Arabidopsis thaliana: one gene and its partners. Each later gene encodes a partner of the first gene's protein in a complex. Each region holds a gene or a part of one and is shown in the gene's direction. Other genes may lie near its edges.

Evidence for each region.
Region 2: ATL5 (region 1) and RPL16A share a complex: the UniProt entries of both Arabidopsis thaliana proteins name them as parts of the large ribosomal subunit.
Region 3: ATL5 (region 1) and STV1 share a complex: the UniProt entries of both Arabidopsis thaliana proteins name them as parts of the large ribosomal subunit.
Region 4: ATL5 (region 1) and AT5G45775 share a complex: the UniProt entries of both Arabidopsis thaliana proteins name them as parts of the large ribosomal subunit.

Annotation. Positions count from the first base shown.
Region 1 is NC_003074.8:9,267,866-9,273,909, reverse strand, and holds ATL5 (ribosomal protein L5), read left to right. Parts: upstream 1-2,444; 5' UTR 2,445-2,582; coding exon 2,583-2,585; exon of another isoform or gene 2,586-2,735; coding exon of another isoform or gene 2,736-2,738; intron 2,739-2,958; coding exon 2,959-3,028; intron 3,029-3,120; coding exon 3,121-3,339; intron 3,340-3,434; coding exon 3,435-3,514; intron 3,515-3,599; coding exon 3,600-3,716; intron 3,717-3,832; coding exon 3,833-4,137; intron 4,138-4,225; coding exon 4,226-4,337; 3' UTR 4,338-4,633; downstream 4,634-6,044. Other genes in the region: GLYR1 (glyoxylate reductase 1), read left to right, coding at 396-500, 643-753, 833-934, 1,019-1,120, 1,247-1,362, 1,452-1,530, 1,601-1,771, 1,878-1,961; AT3G25510 (disease resistance protein (TIR-NBS-LRR class) family protein), read left to right, coding at 5,978-6,044. UniProt on the Arabidopsis thaliana protein: Component of the ribosome, a large ribonucleoprotein complex responsible for the synthesis of proteins in the cell.
Region 2 is NC_003071.7:17,788,954-17,794,113, forward strand, and holds RPL16A (ribosomal protein large subunit 16A), read left to right. Parts: upstream 1-2,738; 5' UTR 2,739-2,840; coding exon 2,841-2,843; intron 2,844-2,921; coding exon 2,922-3,029; intron 3,030-3,115; coding exon 3,116-3,158; intron 3,159-3,504; coding exon 3,505-3,700; intron 3,701-3,794; coding exon 3,795-3,993; 3' UTR 3,994-4,189; downstream 4,190-5,160. Other genes in the region: AT2G42730 (F-box/FBD/LRR protein), read right to left, coding at 653-967, 1,053-1,193, 1,348-2,265; AT2G42750 (DNAJ heat shock N-terminal domain-containing protein), read left to right, coding at 4,451-4,699, 4,947-5,075. UniProt on the Arabidopsis thaliana protein: Component of the ribosome, a large ribonucleoprotein complex responsible for the synthesis of proteins in the cell.
Region 3 is NC_003074.8:19,658,285-19,663,652, reverse strand, and holds STV1 (Ribosomal protein L24e family protein), read left to right. Parts: upstream 1-1,627; 5' UTR 1,628-1,740; coding exon 1,741-1,751; intron 1,752-2,129; coding exon 2,130-2,205; intron 2,206-2,302; coding exon 2,303-2,404; intron 2,405-2,508; coding exon 2,509-2,657; intron 2,658-2,750; coding exon 2,751-2,904; 3' UTR 2,905-3,165; downstream 3,166-5,368. Other genes in the region: SRPK4 (ser/arg-rich protein kinase 4), read right to left, coding at 4-936, 1,047-1,241. UniProt on the Arabidopsis thaliana protein: Might have an extraribosomal function in reinitiation of translation of ETTIN and MONOPTEROS genes that are involved in the auxin-mediated gynoecium patterning.
Region 4 is NC_003076.8:18,563,968-18,569,596, reverse strand, and holds AT5G45775 (Ribosomal L5P family protein), read left to right. Parts: upstream 1-3,014; 5' UTR 3,015-3,100; coding exon 3,101-3,103; intron 3,104-3,126; exon of another isoform or gene 3,127-3,192; coding exon 3,193-3,300; intron 3,301-3,395; coding exon 3,396-3,438; intron 3,439-3,525; coding exon 3,526-3,721; intron 3,722-4,117; coding exon 4,118-4,316; 3' UTR 4,317-4,605; downstream 4,606-5,629. Other genes in the region: AT5G45780 (Leucine-rich repeat protein kinase family protein), read left to right, coding at 1-89, 167-299, 385-456, 539-682, 757-828, 928-987, 1,066-1,139, 1,221-1,367 and 3 more; RLP55 (receptor like protein 55), read right to left, coding at 4,752-5,629. UniProt on the Arabidopsis thaliana protein: Component of the ribosome, a large ribonucleoprotein complex responsible for the synthesis of proteins in the cell.

The DNA of each region.
Region 1 (6,044 bases):
TTGAGACCGTCCTCATCATTGTACTTGTAAGTTTACGATTATGATATAATTAGTCATTAGAGAACATGAATATGCTGAAGAACTATATTAGATTATTTAACTTTATGTATATAGTAGAAATATGATATCTCATCGTACCAAAAATATTCGAGAAACAATCAAAACCCAAAATCCCTCTTATTTCAAACACGTGGCGAAATCCTGTTCGTTCATAACTGGCAGTTAGAGATGCAAACAGAATCAAACTGTAGGGAGTAAACTGTAAATACTTCCTTTTCAAAGTAAGTGTATTTGATGATAATGGTTCTCTGATTAGAAAAGGCTCCGGCTTTATCATTCTCAGACCATCATCACTAAGCAGTAAGTAAGCACTATAATCGCAGAAGATAGATAAAATGGAAGTAGGGTTTCTGGGTTTGGGAATCATGGGAAAAGCCATGTCAATGAATCTATTGAAGAATGGATTCAAAGTCACTGTATGGAACAGAACACTCTCCAAGGTAATTTTTTTTTTTTTTTTGTCTTTGATTGTGTTTTGGTATTATGGTTTTCTGATTTAGTTTTAGTTGTTCAGATCTGATAAAGTCGGAAACTTTTTGAGTAATTTAATGCAATTTTGGGAATTTTTGATGATTGTGACAGTGTGATGAGCTTGTGGAGCATGGTGCATCAGTATGTGAGAGTCCAGCTGAAGTAATCAAGAAATGCAAATACACTATTGCTATGCTCTCTGATCCTTGTGCTGCTCTTTCGGTATTTGAAATCCTTTTTTGCTTCTTTTGTGTGTGTTTTAGCATTGGTGATGAATGATATGAAGTAGTTGTTTGATTAGGTTGTTTTCGATAAAGGCGGTGTTTTGGAGCAGATATGTGAAGGAAAAGGTTATATCGATATGTCGACTGTTGATGCAGAGACTTCTTTGAAGATCAATGAGGTTGAATCTTTTGTACTTTAGATGCTGATGATAAGATTAGAAGAAGGTTGATTAGTTTGATTGAGCTGTGTTGCGCATTGGTAGGCAATCACCGGGAAGGGTGGTCGGTTCGTAGAAGGTCCGGTTTCAGGTAGCAAAAAGCCAGCTGAAGATGGCCAACTCATTATCCTTGCTGCTGGTGACAAGGTACAACTCAAAACTGTACTTATGGATTGATTGATAGATCTCAAGAACTGTTTTAGTTGGACTTAGTAGGAAGGAGCTCTCGATGTGCGGCTATAATCCGTTTGTGTTTTAATCCTTTTTTGTAAGGCACTCTTTGAGGAATCAATCCCAGCTTTTGATGTCTTGGGGAAGAGATCGTTTTACTTGGGACAAGTTGGAAACGGAGCTAAAATGAAGCTAATAGTGAACATGATAATGGGAAGGTGAATGTCCCGTCTCTTTTACAATTACTACCATTAGTAGTAGGAATGGAACATGGCTTCATGATCTTATTGTTTTTCGTCTGATACAGCATGATGAATGCATTCTCTGAGGGGCTTGTATTGGCTGACAAGAGTGGACTTAGCTCTGACACTCTTTTGGATATTCTGGTGAGGTGATCAAACTTTTGCAAGCTCTGAAATAATGGTGTTGGTTTGAATCGGTTTCTGCTATGGGCAGGATCTGGGAGCAATGACTAACCCGATGTTCAAGGGGAAAGGACCTTCAATGAACAAGAGTAGTTACCCACCAGCATTTCCATTGAAACATCAGCAGAAAGACATGAGGCTAGCTCTTGCTCTTGGCGATGAAAACGCGGTTTCCATGCCTGTAGCCGCGGCTGCAAACGAGGTCAGTTAGTTAGTTAGTTACTCAGAGACAATAACATATTGGCTCTCCCTCCTCTAGATTGGTTTCTTAGCTTGAATCTTAAAATATATGTTTCGGTTCTCGACAGGCTTTTAAGAAGGCGAGAAGCTTGGGACTAGGAGATCTCGACTTCTCTGCTGTGATTGAAGCTGTGAAATTCTCCCGCGAATAGCAAACTGTTTCAAAACATCCACTCATTTGGATTGGCTGAGATACTGAAATCATTGTTATCTTCCCAAATAGAGATTTACTCATTTGGCCAAACACACATTTTACTCCTTCACCAAATAAAAAGTCTTAACCACATATCCAGAAACGTTCATAGAGTTGCAACCTTACGTTTCAACTACTTTATGGCTAGTTCACTCGATATTGGTCCAGAGGTAGATCAAATTGATTGAAACAGAACCAATAAAATAGAGCAAAGTTTATTTGAAGTTGGTCACTGTTAAGGTTATATGAAACAAAGGAAGCAAAAAAGAACCCGTAGATGAGAAGATCAAAGAAATAACATTGCATCAAGATGGTCAAGAGAAATGTTCCTATGGATTATAGACAAACGAGGAGAGGAGGAGACCATTTCAGTAGAAAATTGGATTTCGTTGGAGTGTGAATGTAAAAGCCCATAGGCCCATTAATAATATAACTAGTAAAGCCCATTAACATTTTTCAGCCCACGAGGAGTTTTCTAGGGTTTTGTCTTATAAGATGTCGCATTTAGGTCATTCCGCCTCTTGCTTCTCTTCACTCACAATCTCACAGCAAAGCCTCTCGTTGCTAGAGGAATCAAACAATGGTAAACCCTAGCTTTAATCTCTATCTCTTCTCATTTCTCAATCGTTTCTTCTTAATCTTCTCTTAAGAAAATCGGGTTTTGATCTTCATTTCATATAGAAATCTCCTGCATTGCTTTTGATTAGATATCGTAACGAGAATTCGTGATCCTATGGTTCTATCCACCTTCGTAGATGTTTTTCTTCATGGGTTTTTGGTTTTATAACTTGCTTGAGAATTGAAATAGGAAAAGTTTGAGACTTTGCTTTTGTTCTGTTTTAGAGGTCACTGATACGTATTCAATGGAGTTCTTACCGTAGATCTTTGTTACCATCGAAGAACCTTTATATTGTTGGATCTTAGACTAATAAAATAAGATGATTTGTTGTTGGTAGGTGTTTGTGAAGTCCACCAAGTCGAATGCTTACTTCAAGAGGTACCAAGTGAAGTTCAGGAGAAGAAGAGGTAATAGATTGTTGATTCGTTTTATTCTGATGATATTGTTTGTTCTCTCTTTGTTTCAATCTGTTTCTGAAAATTATTTTATTTTTGTGTAGATGGAAAGACTGACTACAGGGCAAGGATCCGTCTTATCAACCAAGACAAGAACAAGTACAATACTCCTAAGTATCGTTTTGTTGTCCGGTTTACCAACAAAGACATAGTGGCACAGATTGTATCTGCAAGCATTGCTGGTGACATTGTTAAAGCTTCTGCTTACGCACATGAACTGCCTCAGTATGGTCTCACTGTTGGTCTTACAAACTATGCTGCAGGTATTGAATGTGTCATCTGGTATTGTTTTCCAATTTAATATGGTTGATTCTGTCTTTATGGCTTACTTATGTGTAATTTTTTTTTGTTGAACTAGCTTACTGTACTGGCCTTCTTTTGGCTCGCCGTGTTTTAAAGATGTTGGAAATGGATGACGAGTATGAGGGAAACGTTGAGGTATGTTGTGTGATTGGTTTCATCTTGATAATAAGAAGCATTGTTATTGTCTCTTGTTAGAAACTCAAGTCACACAATGAATCAGGCCACTGGAGAAGACTTTTCCGTTGAGCCAACTGATTCAAGGAGACCTTTCCGTGCTCTTCTTGATGTTGGACTTATCAGGACCACAACAGGAAACCGTGTGTTCGGTGCTCTTAAGGTATTAACTTGTTTCTCTTTTTTTGTTGTGAGTGCTCTTATTTGTCATTCTTCTTGAGCAAATGCTTATACTGGCAATTCTTTAATATCCTTTTGGTTCGCTGTTTGAATCTGTAGGGTGCTTTGGATGGTGGTCTTGATATCCCTCACAGTGACAAGAGATTTGCTGGGTTCCACAAGGAGAACAAGCAACTTGATGCTGAAATCCACAGGAACTACATCTATGGTGGCCATGTCTCAAACTACATGAAGCTGTTGGGAGAAGATGAGCCAGAGAAGTTACAAACTCACTTCAGTGCTTACATCAAGAAAGGAGTTGAAGCTGAGAGCATTGAGGAGTTGTACAAGAAGGTTCACGCAGCTATTCGTGCTGACCCCAACCCAAAGAAAACCGTGAAACCTGCTCCCAAGCAACACAAGAGGTAGGGAAACAGAATCAATCTAGTCTATCTATATTCTTGTCTTGTTGGTGTATTGGTGTCTCATTTGGTCTTCCATTTAACAAAACAGGTACAACTTGAAGAAACTTACTTACGAGGAGAGGAAGAACAAGTTGATCGAGAGAGTCAAGGCATTGAATGGAGCAGGTGGTGATGATGATGATGAGGACGATGAAGAGTAAATCAGTCAAGCCTTCTTTATCTCATGCCTCTTGTAGTTTTTTATCTTTTGAGCTTAATGCCTCAAATTTTCTGTTTTCAGACTAAAACACTCAGCTTTTGTGTTCACATTTTAATTGTGTTCGAGGATTTTGATATTGAGGATACATTTTCTTTGAAGTATCATTATCTTATTATTACCTTCATCATAATTTTCAAGAATTTGTATGACAATAGTTTGATGACTTGATTTTATCTGTAGTTTGCTATTGTTAAATGTAAGAACTGTTAGACTTCATCTATATGAACTAGAAAACATTGCTACAAGATGAACTAGATCACATTACTACAAGTTTAGAGCTAAATCACTGTTTAAGGAAATAACTCAGTATTCTCTTGGAGCTATTATTATATGTAGCCTTATCGGGTACTGGAACTGTCTTATGCAAAGTAGGAATGACTTATCTGCTCTGTAGTATGAAGTATGAACTATCCTGGAAGCTGACTAATACGTAATTTAATTTCTCTCGTGACTTCTTTAGTATATAATCGAGAATATGATGTGTATTATTTGGATTCCAAGTAAATTACATGAATGGTGGAGCCCTACATGAAAGGGACCACGATTTGTCCTTAGCAAAATTTTCCATAAATTTTTATGGTGAAAGGTAACAGCCATGAAGCTTCTCTTTCTCTACCAACAGAGTCAACGATCTGTATTCAATATACACAACGTCTCTTTGTTAATCCTTCCTCTACCATGTATGCTTAGTCTTAGATCCTTTTTTCACCTTACTAATGAATTCTTCTTTTTTCCTTGGTACTCTTGCAGCTGCAATAGGCTTCTTAACCCTTTTAAAAAAATTCAAATTCCAACAAGATAACAGAGAAGATGATTCTGCTTCTTTGTCCCCTTCATCAGTTCCTCCATCTTCTTTGTCTCGAACTTGGAAGCACCAAGTCTTCCCGAGCTTCCATGGGGCAGATGTTCGAAAAACCTTTCTTAGTCACGTCCTAGAGGCGTTCAGAGGAAAGGGAATTGACCCATTTATTGATAATAGTATCGAGAGGAGTAAGTCAATCGGTCCTGAGCTCGTAGAAGCTATCAGAGGATCAAGGATTGCGATTGTCTTGCTCTCGAGGAACTATGCTTCTTCGTCGTGGTGCATGAACGAGTTGGTGGAGATTATGAAGTGCAAGGAAGACTTGGGTCAAATAGTGATAACCATTTTCTATGAAGTTGATCCAACTCATATAAAGAAACAGACCGGAGATTTTGGGAAGGTTTTCAAAGAAACTTGCAAAGGTAAAACAAAGGAAGAGATAAAGAGATGGAGAAAAGCTTTGGAGGGTGTGGCCACAATCGCTGGTTACCATTCAAGCAACTGGTTAGCCCTTTGGATTTCTACTTGCCCTCGTTTAAATATTTAAAAACATATTAAACTATATTTGTTTGTAGCTTTTAAAGAGTCAAGACATGCAACTACATATGTTTTTGGATGCGTATGATACTTTTCATGACTAGACTAATTAACTGACATATTGATGTCCTCCAATGTTAGGGATAATGAAGCGGCCATGATCGAAAATATTGATTGGAATATTCTAATTAAACAAGTTGATTAATGCTACACCGTCAAGGGATTTCGAAGCATTGATTGGAATGGGAGCTCATATGGAAAATATGCGAGCATTGTTACGCCTAGATTTAGATGACGTGAGGATGATTG
Region 2 (5,160 bases), on another chromosome or scaffold:
CAAATATTCAAAGAGAGCGAGAGAGAGAGATAGATCAAGAAAGAAAGAGTGATGCAGAAGCAAGAGTTCTTGGAATTGTTCAAGGCCGCACAACGAGCGGCTAAGTATGCGAGTGATGAGAATTCTCCAGAGGTCTCGAGGTGTATCCAATTCATGAAGCGTTTGAAAGAAGCTCCTGCATCTCTTGATTGTGACGTGGTCGTTAACACAAACTCCATTGGAAACGGAATCCGTTTTCTCCGAGATCACAAAAACCCCCTAATTCGATCTGAGGCAGAACTTCTTTCAGATCTTTGGCTCAAGTATCTTTACGCCACCGGTAGAAAACAGAAGTCGACAGATTCTGTTTAGTTAAACAGATTCAGAGAAATTCAGATTCAGGTTTTGAATGTAACTGTATTAATGTGTTAGAGACTTGGGTTTGAATGTATATGACATTATATTACTGCTTCTTAATATGGCAGATTTTGAATAAAGAAAAGGTTTCACGAGAGAAGATTAGAACACTAATATGTATGACAAAAGCTTTCTTCTTGATTCAATGAAGTCACACTCATTTCAAATCCATAAATAATAAAGCTTACTTAAGTACTATAGTTGGTTAAACTCACAATAATATGACAATGTTTTGCTACTAATCACATCACTTGGATCAGTTATTTTTTGTTAAAACCTTGACTTGGATCTTACACTTTGATGACGCTCTTGGAAGCATCATAAGATTCCTCATTTCCATGGTGGTTTGCAAGTTATTACTGTTGTTTACCACGCAAATTTTCACTAGCTCAAGACACGGTAACTTCTCCAAGAAATGCTTCATTTGATTCAGCTCTCTTGTCGTTCCTTGATAGCTCAATATCTCCAGCACCTTCACTTGAGATGATGATAGGCAAGAGGTTATGCTCTCGTCGGTATCATAGCAAACACATACATCCCCACATCTGTTTGTTATGTAGTGATCGAGACCCTGAAGCATAACAAAGAAAAAGAGTAATGTTAACGACCTACCAATATATATATGGTGTTTAGGATGTGTTTGTGACATGAGATACCATGAAGATGAGGGTTTCTAGGTTTGGAGAGTTCTTGATCAGAAGTGGCAGCATTTGCCATCCTCTTGCCTTGTCATTCCCAATAGATAGACTAACAAGGCTGTCGAACAATGGCATTTCTTTACATGAGAAATAAAGCAGCTTCAACAAAACACAATGTGTTAGTCTGTTGTCACTCAATAACACAAAAGTTGAAATAAATCATCAAAAGCCCCAAGTGAATCTCATTCTCGATAAGCAAAAAAAAAGAAGAATGTTATTTATAAGGAAAGAACAATATATAGAGGAGGCTGACCTCTAGAGTGTGGCTAGATAAGTGAAGGATTCTAACATTTCTGATTCCATTGATGAGATTTCTCATATCAGCGGGAATGGAACCGAGAGATCCATTTCTTACTCCCACCATTCTTGTTTCATCCATCCGAAGATTGAGTCTAGCTTCGATGAGGGAATCCAACTTAACATTAGGATACTTACCCAAAACATAACCAGAGTGTTTGTAGTAGATAAGATTAGGAGCATCTAATGAAATACTAGTAAACTTGCGATCAAATCGGATGTGTAGTCTCTTTAGAGATGGAGAAGACACGGAACAAGTCCAATCTACACATCGCCGCTCCTCAACAACCAGTTCTTCGAGAACAGGACAGCGAGATATAAGAGTTCCAACAACATTATGACCTCCAACAAAATTAACTGAGTCAAGACATAATGTCCTAAGCAAAGGAAGAGAAACATCTTGAGAAAGCTTGATTGTAAAACCACGTCCTACTCTCAGCTTAACCAATGTCTTGCTCTTAAAGATCATTGCAGGCACTGGTGGAGATTTTCCTTTTAAAGTAATGAACACATCAAGATCCATAACACCATGGTCAAGAACGTTGCAAATCCAACTTTGAATGCGAGATGAATCAGTGCCACCTCGAACACCAACATGACTCTTTAGAGTGAGCTTCTTTATAGAAGAACCACGTTGCGTATCTAGCAATTTGTCAACGAAAGCCATGTAATTTCTGTGAATCTCAATCCGGTTTTGCTTAGTCTTAGGCACAGATTGACGATCATCAATATCAAGATTGGAAACCAAAACAAACATGTTCTTCCACCTCTTAGAGAGTACTGAGGTTGAAACAGCTTCTTTTGTGGAGATAAGAGACAGAATACGCCCAAGAACCTCATCTGGTAGACGGCTGATTACATCTTTAGCATTCATTGATACCAAAACCTTAAAACCACAGCAATTGGATTCAGAAACAGTAACTAGACAGAGTTGATGAGTTCAAAGGTCTGTTCTTTTTCATACAATGCAAAGTCTAATACAAAAGTTATCATGTATCTCTTCAATCACATTGATTACCATAGAAATGAAAAAGACGAAACAGAGCAGACAACATACCTTGCTAAAGTGCTACTTGCTACAGAGTCGTGAAAGCTCTCCACTTTCAATACCAATTTAATCGTGAGATCAAAAGTGAAAACATCGAATACTAGGGTTTTGGAAAGTTTAAGAGAAGAGACGAAGAAACTGAAACAACTTATTATAAGCAATTTCCTCCATTTCCACATGAGGAAAGAGTAAAGCAGAAAGACTGATGAAGAAAAGGTAAGTAGTCTGTTTGGGAAAGAAAGTCACGTGAGAGAAGCGTGGGCCTTTAAGGGTAAAACTGTCATTTAAATAGTCGCCGTTCTTTACACTTAGGATTAGGGCTTCTAACATTTAAATAGTCGTTTCGTTCTCCGTCTCTCCTTTCCCGTCGGCCGGTGATAATTTCGCAACCCAAATTCCAAATGGTAAGTTTCAGTTCTTGGATTTGTATGATTTTGTAATGTGAATAGGGATTTGAAGATTTACTTACTTTTGAAATTCAGGCGTCGGAGAAGAAGCTATCGAACCCAATGAGGGACATTAAAGTGCAGAAGCTGGTTCTCAACATCTCCGTTGGTGAGAGTGGAGATCGTCTCACCAGAGCCTCCAAGGTTCCTCCTGTTTTTTACCCATTCTCTGTGGTTTTCACTCTTGTTGTCACTTGGTTATAATCGATTGATTCGTGGTTACTTGGTAGGTTTTGGAACAATTGAGTGGTCAGACTCCTGTTTTCTCCAAAGGTTAGATTTTTTCTCATATTTGAAAGCTTACAAATAGTCTGGTTGATAGATTTAGTAATCTAGAAGAATTTGGGAAACATAGTTTAGTTAAGTCTATGAATGGGTGCATGGTTTGATGATGAATTTGAGATTTTGGAATCCAGTAAGTCCCTTATCTGGTGGTTTGTGATAACTTGATAAGCCTACCAGTCCAAATTAGGAGCTGTTCGTTTCCCCGCTTCTGATATAGTTGCGTTGTGCACTCTGTTTTATATGCATCGCTTTTGGTTTGCTCTGAGAGACATGATTTGGTTTAGCTTCTTCCATTGCAATTTTCAAGAACCCTTGTTATGTGTGGCTTTTGCAGCTAGATACACTGTTCGTTCTTTTGGTATCAGACGTAACGAGAAGATCGCATGCTATGTAACCGTCAGAGGTGAGAAGGCAATGCAACTACTTGAAAGTGGATTGAAAGTCAAGGAATACGAACTTCTCAGAAGAAACTTCAGTGACACTGGTTGCTTCGGTTTTGGTATTCAAGAACACATTGATTTGGGTATCAAGTAAGTCAATCCCCTTAAATCATCCTGTCATAACACTTGGGGTTCACCACATTCTTGGTGATACTCATTGATCTTTGTTTCACTTCTTATAAAGGTACGATCCATCAACTGGAATCTATGGTATGGACTTCTATGTGGTCCTAGAACGTCCTGGCTACCGTGTAGCACGTCGCAGAAGGTGCAAGGCTCGTGTTGGTATCCAACACAGAGTAACTAAAGACGATGCAATGAAATGGTTCCAGGTGAAATACGAAGGAGTCATTCTCAACAAGTCCCAGAACATCACTGGCTAAAACAATTCCTCCTAACTCTTTCTTCTGTTTTAGAAAACCCTGTCTCAGTTTTGTTTACTTGTCTGAATCTTAATCTTTGTACTTTATATGCATTATTGGCTTTAGTTTCAGTTATTTAAGTATCTAATTTCGTGTGAGGATAAGCAAGATAAGAAAATTTTGGCGGGTAGTTGAAGCGTGTGGAGACATATAAATCCACTAGCTGACACGTGCCACGGACGGCTAAGCACGCTTTCGCCGATCGCCGATCGCCGCTAGATTCATCTCGGATTCCTCCAAATAAGCTTCCCTGGTTCTTATCTTGCCACGTCAGCATTTCTCCCTCGTACGCCTTAAATTCTTCACAAAAATAATAAAAATATTAATTCAAATAAATGTTCATCTTCTCCTACGAATGAAATTGAAATTAATTTGAGCGATCGGAACAGGATCGGGTCGGATCTTTTGAAGTTCTTCAATGGCGCAGATACTTTCCCCTGTTTGTACGGATCTTTTGAAGTTCCAGAACTCAGCTCTTAGCTCCAGATCAGGTGCGTCGCCGCGGTTCTCGGCGAAGACCACCGGTGCTTCTTCATCTTGGTACTTACCTCGGTACGCAGGAAAGAGGCGAACCGATTCAATCGGAAGATTGAGAGTTGCAACTGAGGATGCTTCTTCTCTTTCCACCGGTGATGTCGCCGATGATTACTATGCCGTTCTCGGACTCGTAAGAACCAAGGCTATTTCAATCCGATTTGATATATGCATATAGGGATTTTGAAGTGATGATTTTTTTTTTTGGTTTAAGTTGTTTGCTTATGATTGAAACTTCTTGTGTATCATGGAAAAATACTCTGCATTTCATATGGTTGTAGCTAGATTCATCTTTGTCGAAATTGTGAAGCCTTTGACAGGTTACAATCATTAAGATCAAAGATTGTGACTTTAATAACTCTCCTTTGCTATGTCAATAGCTTCCAGATGCTACGCAGGAGGAGATTAAGAAAGCTTACTATAACTGTATGAAATCGTGCCATCCAGACTTGAGTGGCAATGACCCCGAAACCACAAATTTCTGCATGTTCATTAACGATATCTATGAGGTGAGTTTTTTACTTGACTTCCTTATAGATTTTTGTAAGCGTTTAGTAAGGTCCATATGCTTTTTCGTTTAATGATTTACCGTTG
Region 3 (5,368 bases), about 10 Mb from region 1:
TACCTCATCTCTATCATAATTGTCGCCACTATGGGGATCAAATAGCACATCTCCAGTGACAAGTTCAAAACATATGCACGCGAATGACCAGAGATCTGCAGATGTAGAGTATTTAGATCCAAGGATTACTTCTGGACACCTATACTGTCTCGTTTGAATGTCGCTTGTGAACTGTTTGTATGTCCAACACGCATTACCAAAGTCAACAAGTTTACACTTGAGGTCAGCAGATGCCACAAGGTGCCTTCGACTTGATCGACTCCCTTTCTTACCACCCTGCTTTCCTTTCTCGCTACCATCTAATTCAATTGCGTCAGAAGTAGAAGGACAATCTTCTTCAACCGATTTTTCTGCAGCACATTGTTTTCCATTAACCGGTGATCCCACTCCACGAACTTTATCAGATTCCGTATTGCCCTTATTCTCTGCATGTCCCTGAGCCGAAAGCTTTGCCTTTCTATGACTTCCTGTTTTTTGATTCTTGACAAAATCACCATTGGAGTCAACAACTGTATTATCCTTATCAGTGGGGAGAACAAGAGGAGCTCCAGACTTCCTCGGATCTTTAGACGGATCAATAGTTGACGGTAACAAAACATTCTCAGGCTTCAAATCAGTATGTATAATCGAAAGCTGTTTATGCAAGTAGTCTAAACCAACCAACATATGATAACAAATCTCCTTAACCATAGGAATAGGTAAGCCACGGTAATCAGAATACTTAATCAACGTTAACAGATTATCTCCCAAATACTCAAAAACCATACATACATGCTGACCATTCGGACCTGAGTGTTTGAAATGATCCAAAAGCTTCACAACACATTTGGTATCATCAGTGTCTCCCTCTGCAATCTGTTGCAATATTGTTATCTCATCCATGGCTGCTTCAGTATAATGCTGAGCACTCTTTTGCACCTTCAAAGCCACATATCTCTGTACATTCGATATACGAGTAAGAAAATCACACAAACAAAGCAACGAAAAATTAATCTCTAAAGCATTTCAAGCAATTCGTGTGGCGAGAGAGAGAGATAGATGCGTACAGAGGATTGAGTATCCCAGGAGAGCCAAACAGTAGAGAAATGGCCCCAACCGAGTTTGCTCTGGACAACGTACCGGCCGGTTTTGAATGAGTCACCGATCCGAACGGCGTGGTAACCGCCGCGTCGGTAATCTTCTGTACCTTCGTCCTCCGACGTGTATTCACCACCGTCGCTGTTCCACTTCTCCGCCTCCATATTCAGTAAATCTAGACGCAACGCGAGACAAACTAAGCTCTCTACTCTTGGAATATCCGGCGACGATTCAATCCAATTTTGTGGATCTCTCTCTCTTTTGATTTGATTTTTTCTGGAAGCTTGTGCAGAGAGAGAGCTTAGCTACTTGTTCAAACTTTCATCTACCTTTTACGAAACGTCACCGTTTTTTAGGTCCATTGACAAGTTTCCTCTACCGTCGTCGGCTATGGGAAAAAATCAAAAAATTATTGGAGGAGAGCTGACGTCATCACTACAAAAATATATGGGCTAATAAAATTATGGGCCTATTTGTGATGGGCCTATTTAGTGGGCTTAAAGTGTGGGCCAGAATAATATATATAGACGAAAATGGCATTGGGTGAAATGTGAAGTCTCTTATATATAAGTATCGAGAGAATTAGGGTTTTCTAGTCTAGTGTTTCCGGGAGCAGCCTGAGCAGGAGGAAGAAGACGAAGAAGAAGAGGAGCAGCTACTACCATGGTTCTCAAGTAATCAAATCTCACCTCTCTCTCTCTCTCTGTATCTGTTCCTGTGTTGAATCTATTAACATCGCCTAGTGATAATGATTCATGATTTCACACTATCGGAAGGATCGATTCACTGAAATTGACTCTTGTTTCAATCGGAATTTATGATATGTTTTGCTTTACCGTTAGCTAAGCTGGGTAATTTCATGGTCTCTGTGTAGCTGGATCTGGTTCTAAGTAATAAAAGTATGATACTTCGTTAATATCTGTGATTAGTCTGTATTTGGTATATGGATGATTCATTTCTATCATGTAGACTGAGATTTTTCAGTGTCAAAGATCATTTGGTTGTCATTTCTAGTTGCAATGTCTCATTTGTTTATTATCTATGAAATACAGGACGGAGCTTTGTCGTTTCAGTGGACAGAAGATTTACCCAGGAAGAGGAATTAGGTTTATCCGATCTGATTCTCAGGTTGGTTCTTTTATGAATCTTCAGCTAATCAAATTGATTTGTTTATACTTTGCAAATGTTTTGGTTTTAGTCTTTTAATGGTTTGTATTGTTTTCAGGTTTTCTTGTTTCTTAACTCAAAATGTAAGAGGTACTTCCATAACAAGTTGAAGCCATCCAAGCTTGCATGGACTGCCATGTACAGAAAGCAACACAAGAAGGTAAAAAAAAAACTCAGTAATTTGGATCTGTTTTGTTGTTTGTACTTTGTTTTTTTTCATTGATCCTGATTTGTTAACATTCTAAAACTCTGTTTCTTTTATAGGATGCAGCACAAGAGGCTGTGAAGAGAAGGAGACGTGCCACCAAGAAGCCATACTCAAGGTCCATTGTTGGTGCTACCTTGGAAGTAATTCAGAAGAAGAGAGCTGAGAAGCCTGAAGTTCGTGATGCAGCCAGGGAAGCTGCTCTGCGGTTAGTTTTCTCCCTCTGTCAAATCATCCAACTAGGATTAAAATAGTTATATTTGACTTAATAAATGTATTGTGATGATGATTCAACAAACAGTGAGATCAAGGAAAGAATCAAAAAGACCAAAGATGAAAAGAAGGCTAAGAAGGTGGAATTTGCTTCTAAGCAACAGAAGGTCAAGGCTAATTTCCCCAAAGCTGCTGCTGCATCCAAGGGTCCTAAGGTGGGAGGTGGTGGTGGCAAACGCTGAAGAGCTTAAAGCCATCTTTTCTCACTCTGCGTCTTTTCTGCTAGTAGCTACTTTTAGTAGTTGATGTTCATTTCTGAATATTTGCAAAACATAAACCTTGTTATTTCGTTTTTGTCTCTCACTTTTGCTACTCTTATAATATCAGACTTGAGAATTTTGCTGCTTATGAACTTTATTTCACTGCTCTCTCTTGTCCTCCTATCATTAAAATCAGAAGAGTTTGTGTTCCTATAATAACTCTTTTTAAAACATTGTTTACTATCTTGCTACGCAATCTCATATCACCCGGTTGTGTTCAATAGCCGATTCTAATTGCAACTACTGAGCTAACAGCAACCTTGGTTATGTATCTTATGCTCTTTTGCTAAAATCGATTTAAGGATTGTTGTGAACATGTGACAACTTCAATTGTTACGGATTGCATCAGAACTGAAATTGCATTGTAAGGAACACCATGAATATTGGTTGATTTTTTCACACTGTTCAGTTAATTCATTTCAACAAGATTTATGTTGTTGGTCAATAACTTTAGCAATAAATTTACTTGTGGAAAATTTTCACGGGGCCAAAACATAACATATGTGGTTGGAGAAATATTTCGTTCATGCATGATCCTTGTCCCCCAAAAAGCCATACTCGCTTAAGTACATTTCGATACATTCGAGATATGATAGAAAACTGTTGTCCCTTTTGTTCGATTCTATTGTATTGTATAATAAAACTAAGCTAAGTTTTTAAAATTTTGGATAATGGGTGCTAATTTTTACTAAAACTTTGGGAATGTTTATAGTTTGTGTATAAGTATGAAATCCATATAATCTGTTGAAACAAAAACGTTTCCTAAGTTTATTTTTTATTTACTGATTTATGAGTTTTAACTTTATAAAATAAAATTATATAATTTAAAACCGAAGCGATTTTCTTTGGCTTAGGTTATATTACGAAATGGGCATGTGAAACACTATATAATGGAAGGAGGTAAGAAGAAGAAAATGATAACTCTACCACATTACCACCATTCTTACACCTTCCTTTTTCTTTCTTTTCCTTTTCGTTTGATTTTGGAAAGCAAGGGACTGTCGTCTCGGTTCGCGATCCACAAGTAATCTTTTGTGGAGATTATGAAAACAATCATCACGAGAGGCTACGTGTGGGTGGCAAACAAAGACGACAATCCCTATTCCAGTTCCATCAGAACTTGAAATATCATGTGAACTCTTGTGTCCCAACAGACACTTTACTACGGTGATGAAACTTGTTTGTTGTTAAGTGGGCATAGAGAACCAACCGGCCTCAATAAGTGTTAAGGTCATAGAAAAACGTAGACTGATCATCTAAATTCGTCATGAGCCTCTGTGGTAGCCCTCACAATGATCTCAATAGAGTGCATGCCACGATCTTGTAAAGACGTAGATGAGGGCTCCTCAGGTGTTCATGTCGAATGTTAGATGATGTATGTTAAAGTTTCTTACAACTCTACATCGTTAACACTTTAATCATAAATTGATATGCAGGTTTTCTGATTTGGAGAGGAGAGCTGTTTCATTGAGAGTTTTTAACTGTCTCCATGGTCAAGATAAGTAAGTCACATATTTGGCAATTATTGATCTCGATAAGTTCTGTCCCTAGCTAGAATCAAGAATGGGATCTTATATGTGGCTATCCAAACTCATAATTCATAATGATTTTGGTTAAAGAGTATTCGTCAAGCCAAAATATTAGCCTCACAATTTTAATTTTGATTGTTGGCTATTATTATGCTTCTGCTGAGTTTTGTCAGGTTTTGGTAAAAATAAACTAAAAGTCAGAAACCGCAATTGCAACATCTATAGGTATATAATATATTAGTAATAACCTCCTTTTTATTTTGATCGGTATATTTTTTGGCCATGATTCTTGGCTGTTACGTGCAAATGTAAAATGCAAGCTTGTTTGCTTTGGTACAATGTGTACTGTGTTCCACTTCTATTGTTCCTTGTGAAACAAAGAGCTCAAAACGTTTCTTGAATAGCCTTTTCTTCCTCTTTATTCAGTAGAAGTCATGTGTAATGTATAGAACTTGGTGCGAGTTGTTATGTCCAAATAAAAATTCCTTGGTTTGCTCAAAAAAAACAAAAAACAAATTAAAGCATATTTGGCCTACTCTATTTGCAGCTCTATACACTCTCTCGGAGTTTGTAAGTGATTTGGAAATGTTCTATGTTTTCCTTTAAGCCCAAAAATAGGGAAGGCCAAAAACTCACTCTGATTCTTTGGTAAAACTCATGGGAATATACCTAGTATAATTGAAAAAGTAAAAACTAATGATAAGAAAGCACTAATTAAGTAAGGAAAGAAAATGTATCCTATACGAAAATGAAGTATAAAAATAAAAAGCAAAAAAGAAACAAAGAGTGAAGAACTCATCACTCACTTGCCCACGCCGTCTTGCATATTCGCTCATCATGATCTTATTCCTCTCTTT
Region 4 (5,629 bases), on another chromosome or scaffold:
TTTAGGAATCTGGGTTTATTATTACTCTGTTCTTGACTCTGTTTCTGCCATGGATAGTCTTTTATCTCCCAAGGGTGTTAACTATGAAGGTGAAAAAAGTATCAAAGATCTTTCTTTTATTGTGTAAAAAGGTTTTGACTTAATCCATATTTTTGGGTTATTGTAGTGGCTGCGTTAATGTCAGTGAAGAACAAGATGAAAGATGAGAAAGAGGTTTTGTCTGGTTGGGATATTAACTCTGTTGATCCTTGTACTTGGAACATGGTTGGTTGTTCTTCTGAAGGTTTTGTGGTTTCTCTGTGAGTATCTTTTGCACACCACTTGTTCGACTAAATGTCTCTGAGAAACGTTTCTTTGCTGAGTTTATTGAAATCTTTAATGCAGAGAGATGGCTAGTAAAGGATTATCAGGGATACTATCTACTAGTATTGGGGAATTAACTCATCTTCATACTTTGTGAGTTAAATGAATTTGTGGTTAATCTTGGAATTCAAGTATGTGTTGTTGTAACTAATGGGGTTACTTGTTATTATTGTAGGTTACTTCAGAATAATCAGTTAACTGGTCCGATTCCTTCTGAGTTAGGCCAACTCTCTGAGCTTGAAACGCTTGATTTATCGGGGAATCGGTTTAGTGGTGAAATCCCAGCTTCTTTAGGGTTCTTAACTCACTTAAACTACTTGTGAGTTTGATGCAAAGATTCTTGATTTACTTAATGTTGCAATTGTTATTTTCTTACAAGGTTAAGTCTTGTAGGCGGCTTAGCAGGAATCTTTTATCTGGGCAAGTCCCTCACCTCGTCGCTGGCCTCTCAGGTCTTTCTTTCTTGTATGTCTTACTCTACCTAACATTACAGCTCCAGGAAATTTCTATTTCGTATAATGTTTCTTAGACTAATGTTTTTTTATTTATGAAAAACTTGAATAGGGATCTATCTTTCAACAATCTAAGCGGACCAACTCCGAATATATCAGCAAAAGATTACAGGTAAGATATGCGAAAAATGCATGATTATTAGCCGTTGCAACTTATGTGAAAGCTTCTTGATAAACTTTTCTGTTTTAGGATTGTAGGAAATGCATTTCTTTGTGGTCCAGCTTCCCAAGAGCTTTGCTCAGATGCTACACCTGTGAGAAATGGTATGTTGCTTCGAAAATTCTTTGCAAAACTTTATTTAAAACATGGTTTCGTTTATTTAACTAGCTGCAATCGATCTGCAGCGACGGGTTTGTCTGAAAAGGACAATAGCAAACATCACAGCTTAGTGCTCTCTTTTGCATTTGGCATTGTTGTTGCCTTTATCATCTCCCTAATGTTTCTCTTCTTCTGGGTGCTTTGGCATCGATCACGTCTCTCAAGATCACACGGTACATATCTAATAGTCTCTCTCTGTCTGTCATATACAATATATGTCAAGACTTTGCTAAAATCTGCATTACTTTTTATGGATTTCTTAGTGCAGCAAGACTACGAATTTGAAATCGGCCATCTGAAAAGGTTCAGTTTTCGCGAAATACAAACCGCAACAAGCAATTTTAGTCCAAAGAACATTTTGGGACAAGGAGGGTTTGGGATGGTTTATAAAGGGTATCTCCCAAATGGAACTGTGGTGGCAGTTAAAAGATTGAAAGATCCGATTTATACAGGAGAAGTTCAGTTTCAAACCGAAGTAGAGATGATTGGCTTAGCTGTTCACCGTAACCTTTTACGCCTCTTTGGATTCTGTATGACCCCGGAAGAGAGAATGCTTGTGTATCCGTACATGCCAAATGGAAGCGTAGCTGATCGTCTGAGAGGTTTTCAATTAACACATTTCTTGTTTTGTTATTCTTTCGATATATAACGCGAAAAGTTCCTTATAAGATTACATGTTTCAGACAATTATGGAGAAAAGCCGTCTCTAGATTGGAATCGGAGGATAAGCATTGCACTCGGCGCAGCTCGAGGACTTGTTTACTTGCACGAGCAATGCAATCCAAAGATTATTCACAGAGACGTCAAAGCTGCAAATATTCTACTTGATGAGAGCTTTGAAGCAATAGTTGGCGATTTTGGTCTAGCAAAGCTTTTAGACCAGAGAGATTCACATGTCACTACCGCAGTCCGAGGAACCATTGGACACATCGCTCCCGAGTACCTTTCCACTGGACAGTCCTCAGAGAAAACCGATGTTTTCGGATTCGGAGTACTAATCCTTGAACTCATAACAGGTCATAAGATGATTGATCAAGGCAATGGTCAAGTTCGAAAAGGAATGATATTGAGCTGGGTAAGTAAAAAAATTCTATGAGTCATTTACTCAACTTAGACTGAACCCATAAGGACAAAACTTAAATCTAAACCATTGGTTTTTGTAGGTAAGGACATTGAAAGCAGAGAAGAGATTTGCAGAGATGGTGGACAGAGATTTGAAGGGAGAGTTTGATGATTTGGTGTTGGAGGAAGTAGTGGAATTGGCTTTGCTTTGTACACAGCCACATCCGAATCTAAGACCGAGGATGTCTCAAGTGTTGAAGGTACTAGAAGGTTTAGTGGAACAGTGTGAAGGAGGGTATGAAGCTAGAGCTCCAAGTGTCTCTAGGAACTACAGTAATGGTCATGAAGAGCAGTCCTTTATTATTGAAGCCATTGAGCTCTCTGGACCACGATGATAGACTTCATAGTGTCTTAACTAGTCTTCTTGATTTTGTTGTCATTGTCATGGCATTAACTGTAAAAATTTGTTTTCTCAATAACTCTTATTTATTCTGTTCTTCCAAAAATAAATGAAGATTTGCGTTTCCACAGTCTCATAAAAAATTATCTATCGTTAATTTTAAAACTCATACATAATAAAGTGATTCGGCGAATGAAAGACTATTTGCCTTATGTAACTAAGAAGGCCAAATATATGCTTAAGATTATGCTTTTCTTATGGGCTTTATAATATTGGCCCATTAAACCATTTTAATAAATCAAAGGGGTAATTTCGTCATTGCGTTAATTCAAGAAACCCTAAGTACCGACCCATATAAGTTCTCTCACTTTGCACTCGACGCAGTTTTGGGCTTTGCAAACTCTACACTGCTTCGTCTCTTAGCTCGACATTGATCTCCTTAAAATGGTATTTGTTTCGTTCGTCTCTGTAGATCGATTCAATGAAAATGTGTTTAGTTCAATGGGTTTATTTTTCGGCTTTGTTTTGTTTCTCAGGCGTCGGAGAAGAAGCTCTCGAACCCCATGAGGGACATTAAGGTTCAGAAACTTGTTCTCAACATTTCCGTTGGTGAGAGTGGTGATCGTCTCACTCGTGCCTCCAAGGTTCGATTTTGTTTGTAAAAATCTGACCTTTACGATTATCCATCATTGATTTAGTGATTTAGATTTGAATTATTGTTTTTGGTTATTTCGTATAGGTGTTGGAGCAGCTCAGTGGACAAACCCCTGTCTTCTCTAAGGGTATGTGAATTTGAAATCTTTCAGGGATTTAAGTTTGATTTTGTGTTGATCTTGATTCTGATGTATGTTGTGGTTTTTGTTATACAGCGAGGTACACTGTGAGGTCTTTTGGTATCAGGCGTAATGAGAAGATTGCGTGTTATGTGACTGTGAGAGGTGAGAAGGCAATGCAGCTTCTTGAGAGTGGTTTGAAAGTTAAGGAGTATGAGCTTCTTAGGAGGAACTTCAGTGACACTGGTTGCTTTGGATTTGGTATCCAAGAGCACATTGATCTTGGAATCAAGTAAGTTTTCTGTTTCTTTTGCGATGAAAGTTTCCTTGAATTAGTTACATTAATGGCTTTGTATAATGGTTTTGGTACTTGGATTCTTCATGTATCTGTATATGTTTAAAAGAATTTCAGTTGCATCTAAATGTCAAGTCTCTAAATTAGGGGTTTTGTGAGGTTTAGTCAGAATGCAGACTACTTTGGTTTTCGCTGAGTGTTATAGTTTTTGTGGAATTTTAAGTATGGATTGGATTAAAAATGAGCCCTTTACTAGTTTTTGGTTGAATGCTAGATTTGGGTCTAGTAAAAGATGAATGCTTTACTGTTTTTCAAGGGTGTTAGATTCGAAACTGATTAACTGGTTTATTTGAAATGTTTACTGTTCTCATGTGTTTTATTTTGTGTATATAGGTACGATCCTTCCACTGGTATCTACGGAATGGACTTTTACGTTGTCCTTGAACGCCCAGGATATCGTGTGGCTCGCCGCCGTAGATGCAAGACTCGTGTTGGTATTCAACACAGAGTAACCAAGGATGATGCAATGAAATGGTTCCAGGTCAAGTATGAAGGAGTTATCCTCAACAAGTCTCAGAACATCACTGGTTAAAAAGTGTTTTGATCTTTAAAGATTTTTGTTGATTCTAGCTTATTTTAAGTTGTTATCTTTGGATGTTAAAGAATTTCTTGTTGTAGTAAATCTTTTGACATCAGTTTGGTAGAATCTAAATCTTCCAAGAACCTTGGAGATATGTTTCTTATTTTATTCAATGTCATCATCAAAACTAAAATCAATCAAAAGCAGCTCCTTTGATTTCATTGTCCTTATAGATGAATATGTCTCTGGACTACACAGTCCCTAAACTAACCCTATGTTTTGAACAAATTTGTATAAATAAAACTAAAGATACTCATAACCACAATTCATAAATACACTCATAACCACAATTCATAAATACTAAAACAGGAGAAAATAAAATAAAACATTTAGAAGGAGAGAAGGGTGAATACACAACCAATACAAAATTACTACGTCCCAGACTTCTCAAATCAAACGACACCTTTTAGCGAGATAAAAGAGGAAGAGGATTAAGAACACAAGCGAGAAAAGACCAATGCCGAGACCAAACAGAGTCTTGTTGGAACCTTTGTGTTCTTCTTCTTCTTCTTCCTTCGTCTTCAGATTCTCCGTCTTCTCCTCATTGCCTCCTTCAACGTCGTAATCGTTTTCTCCTGACAAAGATTCCTCCTTTTGCGACGGAGACCATAAAGGAAAACCGTATTTATCACACGGAGCAAGACCCTCCAATTTCAAGTTCGAGGAGAGAACAGTTTTGTTATAACAGAGCTCACTGTTCCTTCCAATTTCGAAAAAGTTGAGATTTTTGATGAAGCTTTCGTTGAATGGTAAAACTCCATGGAAGGAGTTATCAGCGAGATTCAAGTGTTTGAGGTTCTTCATCTCGGAGAAGAAACTTGGAACGGTTCCGTTTAGTTGATTCATACTTAGATCCAAATGTGTAAGTTCAGAGATAGATGAGAGTGAATTTGGGATTGTTCCTGATAGTTTGTTTGAAGCTAAAGATAAGTTTTTTAGAAAAGTTAAGCTTTTGATTTTGTTTGGTATTTGGCCAGAGAGAGAGTTATGAGATAAGTTTAAGGACTTGAGGTTTTTGAGACGAGTAATGGAAATGCGTATTGAGCCTTTGAGTGAGTTGTTTGATAAATCTATGTATCTGAGATTTGAGTGGAAAGATTTAGGGATAAGGCCAGTGAGATTTGAGTTTGAGATAGTGAGGGAAGTGAGTTTATGCATGTTTCCGAGGATGACATAAAGACGACGAGAGGTTTGGATTGGGGTTGAGGAAATGTAGAGGGTTTTGAGGTTTTTGAGACGAGCGAGGAAGAGGCCGGAGAGTTTGG